Drosophila melanogaster: one gene and its partners. The protein of the gene in region 2 interacts with the protein of the main gene of each other region in a biochemical or structural test. Each region holds a gene or a part of one and is shown on either strand. Other genes may lie near its edges.

Evidence for each region.
Region 1: of the proteins of CaMKII (region 2) and Arr2, one has a biochemical effect on the other in vitro, tested with the Drosophila melanogaster proteins (one study listed by BioGRID).
Region 3: of the proteins of CaMKII (region 2) and dlg1, one has a biochemical effect on the other in vitro, tested with the Drosophila melanogaster proteins (one study listed by BioGRID).
Region 4: the proteins of CaMKII (region 2) and Cam interact in a test that uses a peptide from one of them, tested with the Drosophila melanogaster proteins (one study listed by BioGRID).

What each region holds. Positions count from the first base shown.
Region 1 is NT_037436.4:8,646,207-8,650,648, forward strand, and holds Arr2 (arrestin 2), read right to left. Parts: upstream 2,731-4,442; 5' UTR 2,620-2,730; coding exon 1,764-2,619; intron 1,697-1,763; coding exon 1,502-1,696; intron 1,440-1,501; coding exon 1,285-1,439; 3' UTR 1,055-1,284; downstream 1-1,054. Other genes in the region: CG13305 (uncharacterized protein), read right to left, coding at 1-324; Pex7 (peroxin 7), read left to right, coding at 3,341-3,432, 3,501-4,253, 4,336-4,442. UniProt on the Drosophila melanogaster protein: Regulates photoreceptor cell deactivation. Arr1 and Arr2 proteins are mediators of rhodopsin inactivation and are essential for the termination of the phototransduction cascade.
Region 2 is NC_004353.4:1,048,254-1,053,804, reverse strand, and holds the start of CaMKII (Calcium/calmodulin-dependent protein kinase II), read left to right. Parts: upstream 1-2,426; 5' UTR 2,427-2,462; exon of another isoform or gene 2,463-3,111; intron 3,112-3,195; 5' UTR 3,196-3,285; coding exon 3,286-3,350; intron 3,351-3,412; coding exon 3,413-3,507; intron 3,508-4,558; coding exon 4,559-4,618; intron 4,619-5,246; coding exon 5,247-5,301; intron 5,302-5,551. UniProt on the Drosophila melanogaster protein: A key regulator of plasticity in synaptic physiology and behavior, alterations in its activity produce pleiotrophic effects that involve synaptic transmission and development as well as various aspects of behavior. Directly modulates eag potassium channels.
Region 3 is NC_004354.4:11,373,963-11,379,230, forward strand, and holds the start of dlg1 (discs large 1), read left to right. Parts: upstream 1-1,800; 5' UTR 1,801-1,846; coding exon 1,847-2,756; intron 2,757-2,879; coding exon 2,880-3,011; intron 3,012-5,268. UniProt on the Drosophila melanogaster protein: During embryonic development, some isoforms are essential for proper neuronal differentiation and organization. Required for cell polarity; maintenance of apicobasal polarity.
Region 4 is NT_033778.4:12,257,538-12,262,827, reverse strand, and holds the start of Cam (calmodulin), read right to left. Parts: upstream 3,431-5,290; 5' UTR 3,370-3,430; intron 2,797-3,369; exon of another isoform or gene 2,789-2,796; 5' UTR 2,643-2,788; coding exon 2,640-2,642; intron 2,553-2,639; exon of another isoform or gene 2,015-2,552; intron 1-2,014. Other genes in the region: Vha36-2 (vacuolar H[+] ATPase 36kD subunit 2), read right to left, coding at 4,277-4,873, 4,949-5,290. UniProt on the Drosophila melanogaster protein: Calmodulin mediates the control of a large number of enzymes, ion channels and other proteins by Ca(2+). Among the enzymes to be stimulated by the calmodulin-Ca(2+) complex are a number of protein kinases and phosphatases.

The DNA of each region.
Region 1 (4,442 bases), on a different chromosome or scaffold from region 2:
TGCGGCAGGAGCGGGCAACTGCTGCTGCTGGTAATCCAAGCCCAAGGGCTGATAACTCGGCCGATAGTTAATCAGCTGAAAGTGTGGCGTCTGCTGCTGAAAGTGAATCGCCGGCGGAGGAGCCGGACTATAGCCGCCCACAATGGGCGTGGCAGCGGCACCATACTCAAAGCGACGAAGACGCGGTGAATCGTAATACAATTGTCTTGGATGGTAAAAGACATGTGGCTGCTGCAACAATGCCGGCGAAACGAAAAGCAACAATTGCAGGAGGAATATTTGCATCTTTAGCAGTCCGTTTAACTTTCCAATTGGCAGATCCATCGCGTTGCACTCTCGTCAAATTTGTGGCAGCATTTTGACAACAACATAGCCATTTATAGTTGGCCACTTTTCGGGGCTTGGCCAAAAGCCGGAAGTCACTTGCCCAGCAGTCAGCGGTGTGTGAAATCGATCGACGCTGCTGCCCCGGATTGTGCAATGCTCCAACGGTCAGCTGCAGGGCTTATATAAGATATGGCAAATAAAATGCGAGAAAATTGTAAAATAGAAAAAACCAAAAAAAAGAGGAAAATCAGCTAGACTGACGGGGATGAGACCTAGAATCAAACTGCTGGCAGCTGGCGGCCTTAGCCATCATCAAGGTCAAAAGCTTGGGCTATTTAGCATACACAAAAATTGTGTATTTTGGCAAACGCATTGTCAACATCTGGAGCTTGGAACTTCCGTTGACCGTTAGAGCCGGCCATATCCAGTTCTGGTTGATCCTGATTGGTGGAACACATATCCTGGCAGCCTGTTGCTTCTTGCAAGGGGTTGAAAGCCTACGATGTGACCTATAAGCATTGGGCTTTTCAACCCCCTGTCATCGTTGAAAAATCACCCTTAGAATTCCTGCCAGCAGATCCTTCGTCGTCGAGCTGCGCAGTTGTTTAGATCATTCGACTTCTGAAGTTGAAACCCACAGCACCGCCAAGAACAATCCACTACCAAAAACCGAATCCTTACCGAATCACTTTTGGATACTACATCGCAAACGAGAGAAAAGGTGAGTGCTTTTGATAGCCATAACACATTTATAATATAGCGACACGAGGTCTGTTCAACTCATCAACATGCATATGTACGGGTACAAACTCCAGATCCACCAAAGTTACATTATAGATACGATTATAATACAAAGATTGTGGCCTCCACGAGAGACTGCTGCAACAAATTTTCAGTGCTTTCGATTTAGTTCAATTCGGTTCACAACAGAGCTAGAAGAGATTGAAGATCGGTGGCCTAGTCCGCCATGTTCACATTGTTCATGCGCATCTTGGCGAAGTCCTCGAATACAATATTATCGTCATCATCCTGGTAATAGCCCTTCACATTGCGGTGCTGCTCGATGGACTTCATTTTCTTCATGGCATTCGAGCGCTTCTTCTCAATGGTTCCTATACCACATCAAAGGAATTACAAACTAGAAGTCAAGTTCAAGTAATCTTCTAAAGCTTACCAGGTGCCGGTTGGAGTAGCTTGAAGGGCACATCCGTCTGCATTTCACCTCCCAGAGTGCCGCAGTTGAGCTTAATGCGCACCGAGTACGAGATGACAATACCACAGGCATCTCCCGTGGACTTGCCCTCCTGCACCATGGTGGATGAAGCCAGGTTGACATCCTCGTCCTTCAAGTGACCATCCAGGGCGATACCTGAGTTCACAATTAAATAATCCATTAGAAACTATCCAGAATCACAACTATCACATCCAAATCCTACCATGGCGATCCTTGTTGTTAGCCGCCAGCGGAATCAAGTAGAAGGTCTTGGTGAGATTGGCGCCCGGAGTGATGGGGCAGCCCTCCTTGGTCTCCAGCTGGGCCACATGCTTGCTGAACTGGGCGTTCACCATGGTGATCTCAGTGTGCTGCACAATGAAGCACTTGATGCTCTTCACGGACTTCTTGGAGTTGTTCGACACCTGGACGGTGGCAGCCGTCTTCTCGCCATGATAGTAGATCTCCCTGTCCAGCGTAACCTCCAGACTGATCTTGCCATTCGAGAAGGTGAATCCCTTGCTGACCAGCGAGCTGGGCAGACGCTGGCCACGATTGAGGGGAGCGTACTGCAGCTTCTTGATCACCAGACTGACCATGCTCCGCTTGTGCTGGCGATCGTCCTCGGAGTCGCCCACAAATGCCCGGATGGTGTACTCGACGCCCAGGGGCTTGCCATTGTCGTCGCCCTCCTGCTGCAGAGTAACGGAGCTGGGCGAATTGGGCGGGAAGTGGAAGGTGAACGGATAGGCGTTGCTGCCCAGTTTGCGGACCAGCTTCTCCTGCATCGGTGTCATCTCCATGTTGGGATTGGTCATGGGCACAATTTGCTCCCGGCACAGGATAAGCTCCTTGGAGAACTTCACTCCCATGACCTCGTCCTCCTCGCGACCATAGCGATAGGTGGTGGCCAGTTGGCCAAAGACTTTCCTGTTCTTTAGATAGTCCGGTTCCACCACAATCACTCCATCGACGGGATCACAGTAGTCGATGTGGTCGATGAAGTCGCGGCGTCCCAGATAAAAGGTGACCTTGCCGTTGGGCGTGGCCTTCTTAAAGACCTTCACGGATACAACCATTGTGGATTAGTGGATTTCTTTGATTCCTGGCAAATGCAACTGGGCAATTCGAGGCTAAGTCGGGCGATGCGCGTTATAGAGTTTTCCGTTCGGCGGAGGAAAATGCGAAACCCAAGTGCCGTACAACCTGCTTATATACCTTTGCCCTGGCCCTGTCCGTGGGTCTTCATTCTGGCCACTAACTGGATTTGCTCGTTATGCACTTGTTTGTTGGCTTGTCCAACACGACAATAAGATAGAACCATAGGAACTAAGGGAAAACTGCAAACAAGCTGCTTCCAGGGGTTGTTCTATTTTCTGCGCAGTTTGCCACTTGCCCGAGCAAATTGGCTAATGTCAAGTATCTTTTTCCGATTTTCCGACCTAGTACGAGGTCATTTGGCCAACTGTTGAATAATTGAGCATGGTAGGTTGGAGCTGGATTAGCATCCGATTTGGTGTTACCGGGTTGTTATCAATCGGCCAGTTTTGTTCTCTCTTAGCCAAACATCAGTGGGCAGCAAGGAGAAACCTTAGATGTTTTTAATTTTGTTATGTATCAAACGTCGATATATTGATTTTAATGTGAGAGGTATAATTGAAATTGGCATTTCTTACAACTAGCTTACCAAAGGTCGCAATTCATTGTAGTTAATGTTAGATAATATTTAAGGTCCAGAGAAATTGGTATTATTTTGAATCTCTCCTTTTTTTTTCTTTGCAGTTGAGATCTAGAACCAAGATGCAGACACAGACACACACCACCACAGACCGACATGGCTATAGCCTGCGCTTTTCGCCTTTCGAGGCTAACTACTTGCTGCTAGCTACAAGGTGAGATCAATCTTAAGCTCTAAAACCAACAATATACTAATAGAAAACCATTTTTTTTCGATACCCAGCCAACTGTACGGTCTTGCTGGAGGTGGTTCCCTCTTTCTGCTGGAACAGAACTCCAACACAAATTCCTCATCCACAGATGGCCAGAGTCTCGGAGAGCTGTGCCGCCTAGAGTGGTCCGATGGATTGTTCGACGTCGCCTGGTGTCCGTATGCCGCCGATATCGCCGCCACTGCCTCCGGAGATGGATCGCTTCAGATCTGGTGCGGATTGGATGGCGAATCGGCGAGCAACCAGCTGACGCCGAAACAGCCGCTGATCTGCCTGCAGGAGCACAAGAACGAGGTGTACAGCCTGGACTGGGGCGAGAAGTGGAACTACCACACGCTGCTCTCGGGCAGCTGGGATTGTACACTGAAATTGTGGGACTGCAACAGACAGAACTCCATCACCACATTTGTGGGCCACAACGATCTGATCTACGGGGCCAAGTTCTCGCCCCTGATCGCCAATCTGTTTGCAAGCGTAAGTACCGATGGACATCTTAACTTATGGAACTCTCTTGACTTTGCAGGTAAACCCCTGATGAGCATCGAGGCGCATGCGAGTGAGGCACTATGCTGCGACTGGTCGCACTTCGATCGCAATGTCCTGGTCACTGGAGGTTCGGACGGTCTGATCCGCGGCTGGGATCTGCGCAAGATGAGGACGCACGTCTTTGAGCTGTACTCTGGAGAATTCGCTGTCCGGCGATTGGCCTGTTCACCGCACTCGGCAGCGGTCTTGGCATCGGCCAATTATGATTTTACCACAAGGTAAGTGGAATGATCTTAGGCTTTCAAAAAACAGGACATTTTTATGGTTAGTAACAACTGTCCACTTTTGTCACCTTTTTAGGATTTGGAATCTGGAGCGTGGTGAGTCCGCCCAGGAGGTCAATGCGCGGCACACGGAGTTCGTGTGCGGATTGGATTGGAATCCCCACAGGACCCATCAGTTGGCCG
Region 2 (5,551 bases):
AACCGTCGTTGGCAAAAGTTTTCGATTTAACGACATTATGAGACGAAAAAGCTTTTCTCTCTAGCAGTTCATCGAATCAAACGCGGCCGCAAAATCTTGTTAGTCAGTATTGAATTCGATTTTCAAGAAAACAGACGTTCTAAAAATTTCGGTATCTAGCTGTGTGTTTCGTGTTCTCCCAGCTCGTTAAAAACATATACATATAGCTTTTTAAATACTCTTATAAGCATTTTGAACAAACATTTATCAGATCTCCTGAAGTTTAAAATATTGTTATTCGCAATTGAAAAGAACACATCAAGTATAGGTATCAAATTGGATTTAATATACATACATATGTACTCACTTATGTATTTTTATATATATGTATATTTATATAAGTTTACGTATCTATAATACCTGATACAATTCTGGGTCAACACAGATTCTAATATATACATGAGTATACACATATACATATATTTGATATATGTATGGTCTCTTACTGTGTATATGCCAACTAATATTAAATACTTTTTTCGCGCGTATAACGATTGCATATTGTAAAGTTAATATATATATTCACACGCTTCACTTATATCTTAAAAGGACATTTATACAACATCAGTATGTACCCCATTTTGTGCCTTTGTTCAGTTACGCAGTAAATATAAATATATGACACTTAAAAATTTTGTAATTGTTATTGCACAATATACATACATCTTACAAATTACTCTTGATATCTACAAGAAAGTTTAAAACATACCTAAATACTTACGAGTTATGATAAATGCTTTTTTTTTAATTTTAAAAAAGTGTTTCACATTCTATATATCGTCCCTCCTAGTCCGAAAAATGGGTTTAGTAAAACATTTCTGAAGGTCTCATCCAAATAGTATATTTAATTCGCGTACATAGCGCGTGTTTATATGATTTAATGAAAAAGTATAATTTGCAACAAGTAATTTCCAAGACCCTGAAATATCCTTGCTAAAAGGGGTGGGGCGTTTTACCATTAAGCTCATCAAAAAAAGCTTCAACGCATGTAACCTGCAAAGGATACATACCTACATATATATGTACGTATATATATAACTGCTTCCCAGATACATTCTCATAATCAGGATTTTCTTTTTTAAGAAATTAACCAAAAACACCTGTCGCTTTTTTTAATTGATTGAAATATGTCAATGAGAGTTAAATATATCTGGTTTAAAACAAAGATAATAAAGTTTTGATCACAAATTTTAAACTTTTCGTAACATTTGACTTGACAATATTATATTATAAGTATGTTATTTCAAAATTGCGAGGGTGCAATTAAGGGTCTACATATACCTTTTCCAGGGAAACACTTCTTTTTCATGGTGATTGGGTCTAGTTTTAAAAAAACACGTACAACAAACTAAAAACTAACAGTACCGCTGTTACCGGATATGGCAAAAAACAAACCTCACGGAGAGGTATAAAACAAGAGAGAACGTGACAGTAGTTCATCGACTATTTAACAACCCGACAGAAATGTGCAAAATAAAAGAATAAATAAAAATAATGAAACAAAAAAACAAAACACTTTGTAAATGTGTGGGCAAAATCGAAATAAAAGATTTCAAGACTGAAAGAAGCAAATTATTTTTCAAAAAAATTGGAGTTACAGTTTTAGGCGGATTAAATGTCTGGTTCTCAAGAAAACAAATTTGCATGCTTTATCCCATGCCTGTCGTCCGTATCAACGCTGTTACCGCTGAAACTATAATAACTGGAAAGTAAAACGAAAAAATAATTTCCATTTTTTATTCCTTTACTCAATACGTAATATAGGTTAATAGTAATGATTGTTGCTGCTCTTGATCAGCTGGCTATCACACTAGCTTCGTTGAAAAGTATGTAACTTGCAGAACGACGCGTTTCCGAGCGTTTAAACTATATATAGTCTTCACCAGGATCAATAGCCGAGTCGAATTTTCATGTCCGTCTATCTGTATGAACTCCACGATCTCAGGAACTATAAAAGCTAGAAAGTTAAGATTGTGCCATGCCCTTTTTAAGTTTTCGTTTATTTTTTTTCAAAAAATTGTTGAAATTGTTTTGCCAATTTTAATCGGTACGCCAGAAAAATGTTTAATATTCTCGTTCATACTTCCACTAGCTGAGTAACAATTATCTGATAGTCGAAAAGCTTTACTATAGCGTTTTCTCTTGTTTTAATTCTGCAATGGATTCGTATTTTTTCAGGGCCATAGTTTAATTTGATATTGAAAACGCCACTGAGTGGTTGATATGCATATCGATGTAAGGCCCGTTTACACTGCACTAACCGCGGAGTTATGGTTTTACATATGTAGATACCTTTGCTATTTTGATGTGCATGGGGAACAGTTAAGTGTAGCTTTGGTAAGGAGTTGACCCCTATGTTTAATAATCGAGTTTATTACATTTTTCGTCTATCGAATGTCATGTCATCTCTAGGCAACAACAAGGTATCAGATTCAACGTTTGAGATAGGATAATACATTTTCAGACATTTTTCAATTTGTGCCCCCGCACATGTTGTTTCTTGCGAAGTATGGTGTTTTTTCGTATGATTTCATGATCACATGAAAAAACTTCAACCACCAAAATCTTCAAAATGGAGGTCGAGTTTTCTAGTTTAAGCAACGTGCTTTAAGAGAACTCACTTGAATTACCAACTCAATAAGAAACCTGCGGCTGTTTAAAATAACATAACCCTTATATTATTACAAACCATTTAAAATTTGAAGAACTATATGTAGATTGCTGGTCTGTTTTGCATCGACTCCACTGAGTAATATAGAATTTTAAAATTGGAATAGCGAGACATTCTTTTAATTTTACCGATATGTGTTTCTATGAAATAAGTTACCTAATCTGTGCTCTGAATACTTCTGAATTACATTGGCGAGCTTTACTTTACGAGCTTCATGCCCGATCTTATACAGAGAAGAATGCAAGTTTATACTATGATGGCCGGGGGATTCTCAAATACATGCAGTACCCCTTTGGATACCATAGAACCAACGCTGTCTGAAACTTTTGAACCAGCTAGTGATTACTTTATAACAAAATAATATTTAGAGAAGGCCCATGGTACCTAAATGGTACAACAATGTATGTATGTTTGTACGTTGTAAGCAATTTTTTGTATAATTTTTGTAAAACTGATTTATTATCTTATATTTAAAAATCGTTTAGAAAACAAGAAATAAAACTCCTGAAAAGTGAAATCTGTAGAGCAGTTGAAGATCTTTAGTCGCAATAGATTTTCTTAAGTGTGCCATCGCGATGGCTGCACCAGCAGCCTGTACGCGTTTTTCGGACAATTACGACATCAAAGAAGAGTTGGGAAAGTAAGTTTAACAAACTCAAGGTTAATAAATTTATTATAATAACCCGTCTATTAACATTTCAGAGGAGCATTCTCAATTGTGAAAAGATGTGTCCAAAAGTCAACTGGCTTTGAATTTGCTGCAAAAATTATCAATACAAAAAAATTAACTGCCAGAGGTAAGGCTTTCTGTGTTCTATGTAGGTTATAAATCACATATGTACGCATTTATGCTATGCACACGCATGTAGGGAAACTAAGTGCTGTTTTTAGGTAATTCGTCGAGTACAGTAAAAGGGTATACTAGATCCTTGATCCTTGGAAAGTATGTATATTCTTGATCAGGATCAATAGCCGAGTCCGTCTCTCCGTATGGTCGTCGAGATCTCAGAAACTATACAAGCTAGAAGGCATACAGATTTTAGAAACAAATACGCAGCGCAAGTTTGTTGACCCATGTTGCCACATGCGCCACGCCCTCACTTTTGAAAAATGTGTTGATATTTTTTCACATTTGTATTGGTCTTGTAAATTTCTATCGATTTGCTCAAAAAAAAGTTTGCCACGCCCATTCTAACGCCCTTTAACTTCTATCGATTTGCTTAAAAGCCGCCAACCGGTCACGTCCACACTTTGGACCAATTTTTAAACTTTTTTCTTATTTTATTCCCCAATATCTATCGTTATCCTAGAAAAATGATGAAATTTCGCGTTCCCATTCACACTAGCTGAGTAACTGGTATCTGATGCCGTTTTTTCAACGGCGATATGGCATATCGTAAGAAATCAGTAGTAAACATTGACTGTCAAAAAGTTTTCCTGTAAAATGTACTTTCTTTTTGCTAAGTACGCTTTTGGAAGGGACCATTCTTTTTGTGTAATATCTTCGTCGTCCCTATCTATTTGCCACACAAGTATCAAATAGTTCTACAGTAATTAAGTTGTATTTCTTGGTGTTGTGCTATTTAGTAATTAATAAATTTTTACTGCCAAGACGTGGCCAAAATAATTTTGGAATAGCAGTATTGGCAAAGTGTGTAATTTACAAAAAATATATTAAATAACTTTTAAGAAGTTTGAGCATGACAGCTGGGACAAATTTTGGGCTTAGAGAGAACCATTTGCTTGCTCGCCAAAAACCTCTTATTAACATATTTGTACACATGCATGTATGCATATAAGAGATGCTTATAATATATATATATATATATTTTTTTTTTTTGCTTTTAGACTTTCAAAAACTGGAACGTGAAGCAAGGATCTGCAGAAAGTTACACCATCCCAACATAGGTATGCAACGTGTATATAAATATAATTTACTTACTTATTCTTTAAAGATACGTTTTTCTGAAGATGTATGATCTACATAAAAGTAGACGAACATGGCCTAATATCACTTTGAACATCTACTATACATAATTTTTATATGTACATTCAATCACGGCTTAGACCCCAGTAGTGTTGATGACTTGCAATGTGATCCTGATAAAGGATGGTTTGACGTCCACGGTAACACAACGAAGAAAAAAATAAAATAGAGTTTAGTAGATATATCAATCCGCATCTGCAAGCAACATTCCATTCCTCGCCCTCCCTACTCTCCAATAACAAATCTTCCAAGTAATTTATAATTATAATAATTATAAAAACTTGCAGAACAGCAAAAACCGAACTCATGCAATAGACTTTCCTCTCACTAAAAGCGTAACCTAACAAAACAGTTATTTACACGGACAGTTCAAATCTAGAAACATCACTTCCTCCAGCGTCACCGACAAAATATATAATATGTTCAAAATGTATTTTATAAACATATATTTTTATAGCCTTTAAGGCTTATAATCATTGTCATCCGTAAAAAAAAAACATTAAATACAAATGTATACAACTAATAAATTGTTAATATGTACAATTTCAGTGCGGCTACATGACAGTATACAGGAGGAGAACTATCACTACCTTGTTTTTGACCTGTAAGCATTAACCTGCATAGACTCCTTACCAAATATTTAAATTGCCTATCCCCAAAAGTGTTTTAAAAATATGAGTTTCTAACAAATGCTTGTAAATGTGGCAATGACTCGACTATTGTTTATTGAGATTCATACTTCATCCTTTTCCCTCCGTTCGTTCATACTATAATATGAATATGAATCAAATTTTAAAGCCGCAATATAATATATATAATATAATATGAATCAAGTTTTAGCCGCAATATATTTT
Region 3 (5,268 bases), on a different chromosome or scaffold from region 2:
ATAAATGCTATAGAACCGAATGTGAATGTGAGGAGCCATTGAGCTGTGAAATGTGAAAATCGCAAAGAAATCGAGAGAAAACGCACACGTCAATGTAACCACAAAGCTGCCCCAAGAAAACGAAAAGTAAAATATATAAAGAAATTAAAAAATAAACTAGCAAACTGAAAGCGCAAAATTAAAAAAAAAACAACAAATCTCGAACTTTGTTCGAAAGCCAAAGTATCTAACAAAACAATATTTGTACATAAAACACCATCGAATAGTATATATATATATATACATATATATCAGATATATATACAGATGTGCTGGCGAAACTAAAAGGAGGAGAACTCAAGGAAAAGCCAAAGCGATTTTTCCGCACATTTCCACTCGAAAGCGACTCCAGTAAATTCTCAAAATTGCGACCCACGCTTTTCCCAGTTCGGCGGCGTTGAACCACAATCAAAGCTGCTGCACCACCGCCATTTCCGCTGCCATTTCCACCAGCACCACCATAAATAGTAGCAGAAACACCGCTCACAGAATGCCAGTGAAAAAGCAAGGTAAGCGAAAAATTGCACTTTTATTCACTGCCCACCTTTCCCACCTTTCCCTCCTTCTTCTTCTTTTTTTATTTTCTGTTCTACATATCTGTCTTTGGCATTACGTGGAAATCCATTCAATTGAATGGACCTTATGAATGGTGGACAGTGAAAACTGTTTGCCAGTTTTCAGCAATTGAAAAAGTAGTTTAAAACTTAACACAATGGTTTAAGATCACATTTTACATAATTCTATGCATAACAAATTTAGAAAAATAACCTTAACTATTGTGAAATAAAGTTAGAACCTATTAAAAAAGCTATGTCTATGCAAAACTGCATTGATTTGCTGGTGAAAGTTTTAAGCACCATATAGTATATAGAAAGTTGGCATTAGTTTTTCAATTGTAATTTTAGTAGATCATTTAACTTTTACGTGCTGCGCAAAGTTAGCCAGCAAAGCTGCTTCCAATTACACACGAGATGGCACTTTTGGCCAAACAAACAATGTATCCAACTGTGCATTGGAAGCTATGCAACAAAAAAAAAAAAAAAAAATACATAAAAAACCAGCTAAATTAATGCAGACAAAGAATTTTATTTGATTATGTCACATACAAATCATATTTGGGCAACTCAAATGGCCAACAGAAGAGATGAAATGAAATGGTGCGGAAGGGGGAAGGGGGAGGGGGAAAGAGAGGAGCCGCAGCAGACGGAAAATGGGAAAACCGGGGAAAAGCGCTGCCAGCAGCCTCGCAAATGGTCAGTGAAGGTCAACGTCGGCGTTTGACGCGTGCTGAGGACATCAAACTGCGGCCACAGATACAATGTTCATTTAGATACGAGTATGTATAGTTTGGTTTGTGTGCTCTGTATGTGTGTGTGTGTGCGTGTGTTTTGGGACCATAATGCGACTCGATTATAATAATAAATTATGTGTTTAATTTTTTGGCAAACGCGGCACGAATGACAAGCCAGCGACGGTATGGCACTTGACCCCTGACCTCTTCGCATGGGGACATCAAACTATGCGCAGCAACACACAACTTCGTTGCTATTCAGATTTTCAAGTTAAAGCATTTAGGATGGGGAATTTTAGGCACACACCCTTCATGGAAACAAAAAAACAAAAAAAAAAAAGCGTTAATAACTGGCGTCCGACAAGCGGTGAAAAATGTTTAAAAAGCGTCAATCTTTATTGATTTATCGGCGGTAGCAGCCACCAAACTATAGAACCATAATAGAGCTCAAAAGTCTAGCCAGTTGAGTGCGGCACTTGGGCGCGAAGAGAGGTGTCTTCTTGGCTGGTCCTGGTAATGGATTCGGATACGGACTCGGAGCGGGAGAAGAGCAGCGATCCCAACGAGGGACTGCTCAGTAGCGATGACAAGACATTCCACGACGATGATGAACCGGCGGAGGATTCCTCTCCGGCGGACGATGAGGAGGAGCCCGAGGAGGAGGAGTGCCTGCTGCCGCAGAAGAAGGCACAGATTCGCTGCGACCAAGACCAGCCACCTTTGGTGGTCTTGGTACAGCCGTCGGCGGAAGCCATAGAAGTGCGCCAAGAAATCGATGATACCAATCCGGTGGCAGTAGCTGCCAAAGCTAGCGATATGGATGGGGATTCGCAACTGGAGGTGATGGAACACCAAATGGAGACCGTAACCGAACCGGATCCCGAGCCTCCGAAGTGTCCAACATCCCTGCGCGATAGTGTCCGCGAGTCCGTTGAATGCTTCTATTCCGCCCAGGATCTTCTCGAGTACGGACACATGCTGTCCTCCACTTCGATGGTCCGAACACCGGATGTGGAGTCTGGCTACTTTGAGAAGTCCGAGAGCGATGCTTCGCGCGACGAGTGGGAGGGTCCGTCGTCGTCATCCTCGGGCGCAGCCCGTTGTCGCCTTCTCTCCGGCATTTCCGGACTCTCCGTCTCTTCGTCGAGTCGCCACAGTGCCGAGGGTTTGCGCATGGAACTGAGCCGATTTCGCACCATGATCGAGACTCTCGAGCGGGAAAGTCTCGAGAAATCGCAATCGGAGCTGCAGTTGAAGGCCAAGAGCAAGGCGAAGCCAAAGCCCAAGCAGAGATCCCACGTACAGGATGCGGCTGGGGAAAGTGGTTCGGAACAGGGTTCCGAGAGGGGCTTCTGGTCAACGATCTTCGGCCAGGCGGGTCTGGCGATCAGTCAGGATGAGGAGGAGCGCATTGCGGACATACAGAGTAGGCACTAATCCAGTGGGGAAAAATGGGCAGGCAGAATCCCTTGGTCTTTTGGGTTGATTTCATAATAAAACAATCGAAGATCATTTGTACTAACCATATTCTTTTCTCTATATATTTCAGAAGCTCATCGGGCTCTCGAGCTGCTCGAGGACTACCACGCGAGACTTTCGGAGCCGCAGGATCGGGCGCTGCGTATTGCAATCGAACGCGTTATACGCATATTTAAATCTCGCTTGTTTCAAGCGCTGTTAGGTGAGTAATCGATAATGTATCGATTAAATCGATGAAAATATCCTATATGTATATCTTAGACGCTATTCGCGTCGCTCGTAAGTTTTTGCCTTTAAAAATATCTAAATAATTGCCGCTAGATAAGTGCATTTTTGTGAAATACTTTATTATATAGGTCAGTGTGCTAAATAAGTTTTTCACAAGTTCGTTATAAGCAAGAGCCTTAACCAAGCTCATCATCATCGTCTATTGATTCTGAAACTTTAAACGCAAACAAAGTTGCGAACTTTGTGCCAAGATTGTTAGAAAGTAGTTGATGAGCCGGAAAGAAAGATCCTTGAAAAGTAGTTCTTATCTGTGCAGTTGTCTATCGTCCATTGCCTATCGCCTATCGATTTTCTTGTCCCTCCCCTCGCGTTGCAAATTATTTTCACTTGACAAGCAAGCAGTGAGCACAAAGTAGCAACAAAGGGAATTGCAGCAACAGCGACAGCAAAACGATAATATTGCATAGGATTTGGGTCAAATAGACCAAGCAGCGCAGCGCAATGGAAACAGCAAGCGTCCCATAGTAATGCGGCTAATTCAGCTTGTTTTTTTTTTCTTTACCGACTCTGGTTACTCAAAAGGGTCGATAGACGGCCTGATTAGTGCTCCAGTTGCATCATGGAGTGCATTTTGGTGGCATATGGCGAAGGAGCCATTGATTTTCACTAGCAACTTGTTGGTTTCCCTCATATTACCTATAGTCTCAAGCTTAAGATGAACCTAATTATCACTATAACTAAATACTTTCCTATTAAGAAAAGTTAATTTCCCTGCCATTGTTGCCTTATCATTGTATATTTAAGCAGTTTTTTAAGCCGTTCCCATTTATTGAGACATTTTTGCCCAAGATTTGACAGCTTGTTTTTCTCATTTGACAGTTTTGTCTGGATTAGCTCTTAGCTACTTTTGGATTTTTGGCAGCACTGTTTGCAGTACACTTTTTTTTTTGCTCGCCCATCTTTTCTTTTTTTCAGCAACGTATCCGCCTCTCATCTCTCTCTGTCCATATGTCCATCCATTTCGAGACGGGCGGTTGGTTTGCAGTTGTCTGTTTTGTGGGTCTTGCCTGTTGTATAATTTGCAAAAGTTCTGCTCTACCGCCGTGCTCCATCTCATTCTAGTCCCCTATGGCTCTCTCCCGCTCGCTCCGCGTCTCGCTCTGTGACCCCGTCCCTTTCTATTGGACCCCTGGGTGCAAATTGTGTTGCCCGCTGTCAGTGGCAGTTGCATAATCCTTTTCGTTTCGTTTCGCTTGGGTCCTCTCCCCCTACCTCTTTCCATTCTTCCCATTGTTTTGGTTCTTCTTGTCCCTATTCCTCTTGTTCGGCGTATCCCGCTGGTGCTTCCTCTTCTCCCGTTATCGTTACAGTTTCAGTGGCTGCGCTTGGCGTGTCAGAAATGTTAAACGGCTAACAAGCACACACAAACTCAAATGCAAACAAGCCAAACACGTGACACGTTAGAAAACAGGAGCTTTTGTATGGCCAAACACAAGGGTGGACCTTAACTTAAAAACTCGCAGGGTCGCACTTCGACAGAACATGATCAGTCACGTCGCTCTGCTAGTTTAGAAGGAAAGCTAAACTAAATTGAAGAAGAGAGTTTTTAAACACGATGCCAGTACTTGATTTTTCTTATGATAGATATGGGTCACATGTATTACGATAAAAAGAGTTCACAGCCTTGAAATCAACCCACAGTTAAGGTCCACCCAAGGGAATTTGAGGTGGTGTATGCATGTGTGTGCGTGTGAAATAATTAACAAGGTATTAGCCGCATCCCAAACACCCGAAACGTATGTGTGTGTGTGTGTGTTTTGGGTATAGTATCAAACTTGAGGTTAGATTCCAGTCTCTTTCCGTCTCTTTCCCGCTTTTGTTGAACATATTTGCATTGAATCTGTTATGCTGTAATAACACTGAAAACATTTCAACTGCGTTTGAAAGCACTACTACTGTGCAACCGAATAACACTGCGTATGAGTAATATCGTTGGAAAAACTATGTTTGGGCATCAGAGTTTGATTTTTTTTTGCCATAGTTTTTGGCTTGGTTCTCAGTGTTGCACAGGCACCACAATTGACACTCAAGTTGAAGCGAAGGATAGAGATAAGGATGCGCCAGGGGTTGTGTGCGGGACGGGGGGGGGCAAAAGGTCATGAAGAGCCATGTGCGGGCGAAATCCCAATTTAATTGGCCTAGAATTGGAATCATCTGCAGCACACTTACAT
Region 4 (5,290 bases), on a different chromosome or scaffold from region 2:
AGTGACTCATTGGATGGGTCATTGTATAGTAGTTAGTTCAAGATCATCACTTTTCACTTGCAAATAATATGATATCAAATATTATTCATACTTATGAATACATTTTGATAACAATAATTTTAATACACTTGGGCTTGAATCATTTATAAATTCACAAACGAGTTCTGCTGAATAAAACTATTTCTTCCAATGAGTTTGACAGTTAAATACAACATTAAAACAGGTCTTGGCTGAAATTATGCGGCTTTATGTTAAAGCCAAGTTTGCCGGGTTTACCGTTGTATAGCCGACGCTTTTTTTTTTTTGCCGGTCTCAACCGGTTTCATGGAGTTTAGTTTGGTTTTATGAATGACGGTTAGATTGAGAGCTTGGTTTTTGGGTACAATTTAAGTGCATTCGCACCGGGATCCAAACAACTGTGCTAACTGAGCCATAAGCCAGTCATTTGCCATTATTAACATGACACACACACATATCATCGGGCATTCATCATAGGCCATATGATCATATGATGAAGTCAGCCCAGGAACACAGTGACTCATGGAAATTTATATGAATGTTGGCTCATTTTCAACGGAAACAAATAAGATATACAGACAAACGTATCTCATAATTAGCCGAGCTAAAGATCAACAAACTTTGAAGATCAGTCAGTAAAACCCTTGGCAAATGTTTGCTTCTGGGCCAAGTTAGCAGCGTTGGTTGAATCACTGAAACAAATTGGCCACGTAGAAAGCGATGCGATATATTTTAATTAAAAGCTGTTTGCATTCTGCGTGAGCTGTAAAATCGCTAATTAAATTAGGCGACACCAGATGAGGCTGAAAGAAGGTGTGGCGCGGGTGTGGGCATCGCAGTGGGCGTGGGGCTTTCTTATCAAAAAGCGCAGAGGAAAGCAAACGAACGAGAGAAGAAAGCGCAAAGAGGGCGGCAAGAAAATTGGATTATGTGGTTAAGCGGCGGCGTCTAGCAGGAATTTTTCTTCATTTGCAGCGCTCCTCCTCCCCCATCGTTCGCCTGTGCCGTTACAATAAAATTCTTGCGCGAAAAGGCAAAGTGGAACAGGCAGCCGCCAACACACACACCCATACGCTCACTCACACGCACACGAATACGAATACGCGGAGCCGAACGAATGAACGACCGAAGCGGACGAACCAAGGCGAAGGCGAAACAGCAAAATAACCGCAATGCGGCAAATGAAACGGTTATGGAAGAAAACAAGAAAAGGCAGGCGCCGATAAAAGTGACAAGCGCAAGGCGCAAAAAAAAATGAAATGCTGAAAGAAACGGAAAGAGAGAGACGCAGCACAAAACGGAACTGATAACGCAAACGAAATAATTGCACATAGAGAGAGACGAGAAAGTGTGTGAAACGGTTATGCGAGAGAGCGTCGAAACGGTTAAGCTGAGCGCAAGAGCAGGAGAAATGCCTCTAAAGAATTTTTTCACCATTTCCATGGGGCCGTGTCTAACCTCAATTTTTGCGGCCAAGTGTGCGGTAAATAAAAAATACAACCAGAAAGCAAAGAACAAGCGAACAACGAACGGCGGGGCAAAGAGGAGAGGCCAATAATGCCGGGACCGGCGACTTTGTTGTTCATCATCAATATATATTCACACATTTTCCACTGATAAGCAAAATGGAGGGCGCTTTTCTATTATTTGCGGGGATCTTTGAAAAATTGCTGATAAAAGTGCCGATGGCAACGCGTCTATGTAGGAATGCGAGTGTGTGTGTGCATAAATGCTCAACAAATTGGCTAAAATCACATTGATTTATGATCCCAAATGGTGGTGGTGGGTTGGGCAAGCAGGGGGGCTTCGAAAATGAGGTGTTGCTCGAGATGCTGATAAGAGTTTCCACTTTTCCACGCCTGATTGGGTTTCCAGGGGTATTTCTACCCGAACGTCATGGAATTATTATAGGGCGAACCCGATCGCGTCAACATTCCGTGTGCGACAGCCTTGATAAAATAAATAATAATTTTGACGAGTGACGTGACATGTGTGTAAATTCTTGCTATTGGCATTGCTATTTAATTGTGCTGCTTGTTTTCTGTGACCCTAGGGGCCAAAGTTGAACATTTGATTAAGTCAGGTTAAGAACATGAAAATCTTGCAGCTTAAATATACTAGTTTAAGTATAAACTTAATTTCAAATGATTGCATTCACTTTTTCTCAATGCAGTTTTATGGATTTTGATTATGTTTCATTGTGAAAGGGGTATAAACTACCATATTTTCAAGGGGTTGCATGGTGTTCGCAATTTCTTGTTTCTAAATCAACGATATTGGGTTGTTGAAAAAACTGGTTTTTTCTACCCGTGAGGCGATATATTTTTGGGGTGCAAAATGTAAACGAATTTCCCGGGGACAGCTGCTTTTCGACGGGGTGTTTGGTGTGCTGGGATGTGTGTAGCGAGTGTGTGTGTGTGAAAAGCCGTTAAAACCATATAAACAACGTCTAATTGGAAGCGATTCGCTCCTCCCGCTCGCACTAATGGCAATAGCCCTGGGGGTCGCTGTCTGACTTTGATTTTTCGCAAAAACTGTGGAAATTTCAATGGAAAATGATGGCCGCAGGTTGTGTAAACAGAAAATAAAGATGCACATGTTCTCCAGCCCCATAAACTTACCATTTTTGTAGGTGTTTTTTTTTTCTGTTTGTTGCTAGAGTGACGAAGTTTTAATCCGCTGCGGCTACTGCTGCTGCTTGGGTGTTGGTATGTGTGTGAGTGGAATTACGGAACGCGCGGTTAACTTTATATTTTACTAAATTAACACACTGCAAAAGAAGCAAGAAGAGGTTTGTTGGGTATTACTTTCGGGGGGTCAACTGGAGGTGGAAGAGGCTGAGGAGAAAAACTACTGCCAGCTTGGAGAGAAAGAAAAGCGTCCGTCCAAAGCACCGACGCCGACGCTTTTTTTTCTCGCCGTGGCAGTTTCTGAAATTTCTTTAGTGTTGTTGCTTCAGCCGAATTTAATACAAATTTTCGCCTTGCGTTTCTTCTTTATTTTTTTGTGGCTTTCATTCGTTTTTTTTTTCATCTATTGTGCGAAATATGCCAAACACACGCGCGCACACGGCAGAATTCTCGTTTATATAGTAGATATATGGCGGGGAGAGCTAATACATATAAGAGTTGCTCGAATTCGGTTTTTATAAAGATATTTGTTTAATTTTTTGCTCGTTGGTTTTCTTGATTTTTGGCTGGCGCTGAGAAATTGGCTTTTCCGCGAAACGTTCGCAGCTCCTGGTGCTTGGGTGTGGGCTCTTTTCGCTTTTTTTGTATTTTTTTTTTTTTTTTGTTGGCCCAATACTGCTCTCTATATGCAATGTCTGGTCTGTTTGTTCTGACAACTCACGATCCTAATCTGAATTTCCGTCCGCAACGGTCGACGACTCAAAACTTTGTGTTCAAAATAGCGCTGCGTCGCCATATATACGGTTTTATTTTGCCAGCAGCAATAGCAATAACCGCTCTCGCTCTCGCGAGAACGAACCGGGTAAGTTCGCTTTTGCAGCGGCAGCGTCTGCATGTGTTTGTTTCTGTTGCTTATCCACTCACCTTCGTAAAGCGAAAATAAGTTTGATTTCGCCGTTGTAACGGTCGCGCCGGCGCTTTTCGCGAAAATAGGTGTGTACAAAAATTGTATCAACATACTACAGGTAACTAAAGTTATAAATAATAGGAAGCTAGCTTCTGCAAAAATAAACTTATGCATAGGTTTGCCCTTGCAGTAATAGAAAAAAATGAATCAACTATGTATGTACTCACATATGTACATCTATATAAACAAATGTCTTTTTTATTGTCCGTTTATTCTAATTACCGGTTGTGATTTATGTTTATGTAAACAGTTCTTCGATTTTTAAGTTCAAATTTTAATTGACAAAAATATACTTCAAAATGTTGCAAATTTTATTCTTAACGGATAAATGTTAACGTAAATGTTAAACTAACATTCGATGTTAAAAAAAAACGAACTGTAAAGTCAGCTGTTGCAAACATATAGCATTTGCCATTGCATATGATGGGGAATTAACATACACACATACACATGTATATTATACAGCAGACAGAAATTACATACGTATACGTTATTAATAACAATGACGGTAAATTTTTCCATATATTTTTCGATTTTCGACTGAAATTGCTATACTTTTTCGAAGTGATCACCTAAAATAAATCTTCTATTTGCACACCATATTAAAAATAATTAAGAATTTTTGGACAACTTTAGATTTTGGATTTGTGAGTCCGATTAACTAACTTTCTTCGGGTGGATCTTCATTTACGACATCTTTCGACATCTGGCTGGATCTGCGCTGAGTTTCCTGGCTATTACGCGGAGGAGTATCGGACTTCCTTTCGGTCACATTACTGGCGGACTTCCTTTCCGGTCCGGAGGAGAGGAGCATCCGCTTGGTGCTGTACAGATCACCACTGCTGGCTCGCGGATCCCGCTGGCGACCAGCGAAACTCAACGAGGCTCCGTGGGTGGTGATGAAGGATGTGGGCGGTGGGGGCTCGCCCCGCTTGATGGCCTCCTTTCTCTCCTGCTCGCGGCGCTGCTTTAGGGACAGACGGGCCTCCCGCATGCGCCGCTTCACCTCACGCTCCTCGAACTGCTCCTGATCGAAGGGTGTGTCGGCCGCTGGAGGACGCGTCTGATTTATGTTTCGCTTTATGTAGGTCTCCAGCTCCTCGTCGGTCATGTTCTTGGTCTTGATCAGCTCGGTGAAGGCCATCTTGGCCTCCAGCTGCTTCGCCTGGGAGCGTTTCAGGCGATAGAAATCCTCGCGCTCGAACTCCTCCAACTCGCCGCATATATAGTTATAGGTATTTTGCAGGATGGGTATTACCTTGCGGATACAAAGTGATATTTATTGAAGATTATCCATGATAACATATGGATCATATGAATTAATTATAATTACCACATGCTCCAGAGCATTGACCCTCATGTTGGTCTGCAACGAGGCTGCCTCCAGCATTCGCACTTGGTATTCCAGAGAGGCGAACTCCACCAGTGCCTTGAGTGCCTTCGTATAGGAGTCCCTGATTCGGCTCACTTGCATACCGCCACAGCTGAGACCAGCCAGCGGAAAAGCGCCCACGCCCTTCGTCTCCAGCTCCAGGGTGTTCAGCTTGACGCCCACAATTTTGATCTCCGTGCGGCGTAGCGATACGGTTGCCACGTGGCTGCGGCTTACCATCTGCGGCTTGAAATCGGCGCCCAGAAGATTGGCCTTTGCCATCGAGAATATGGCATTGCGCAT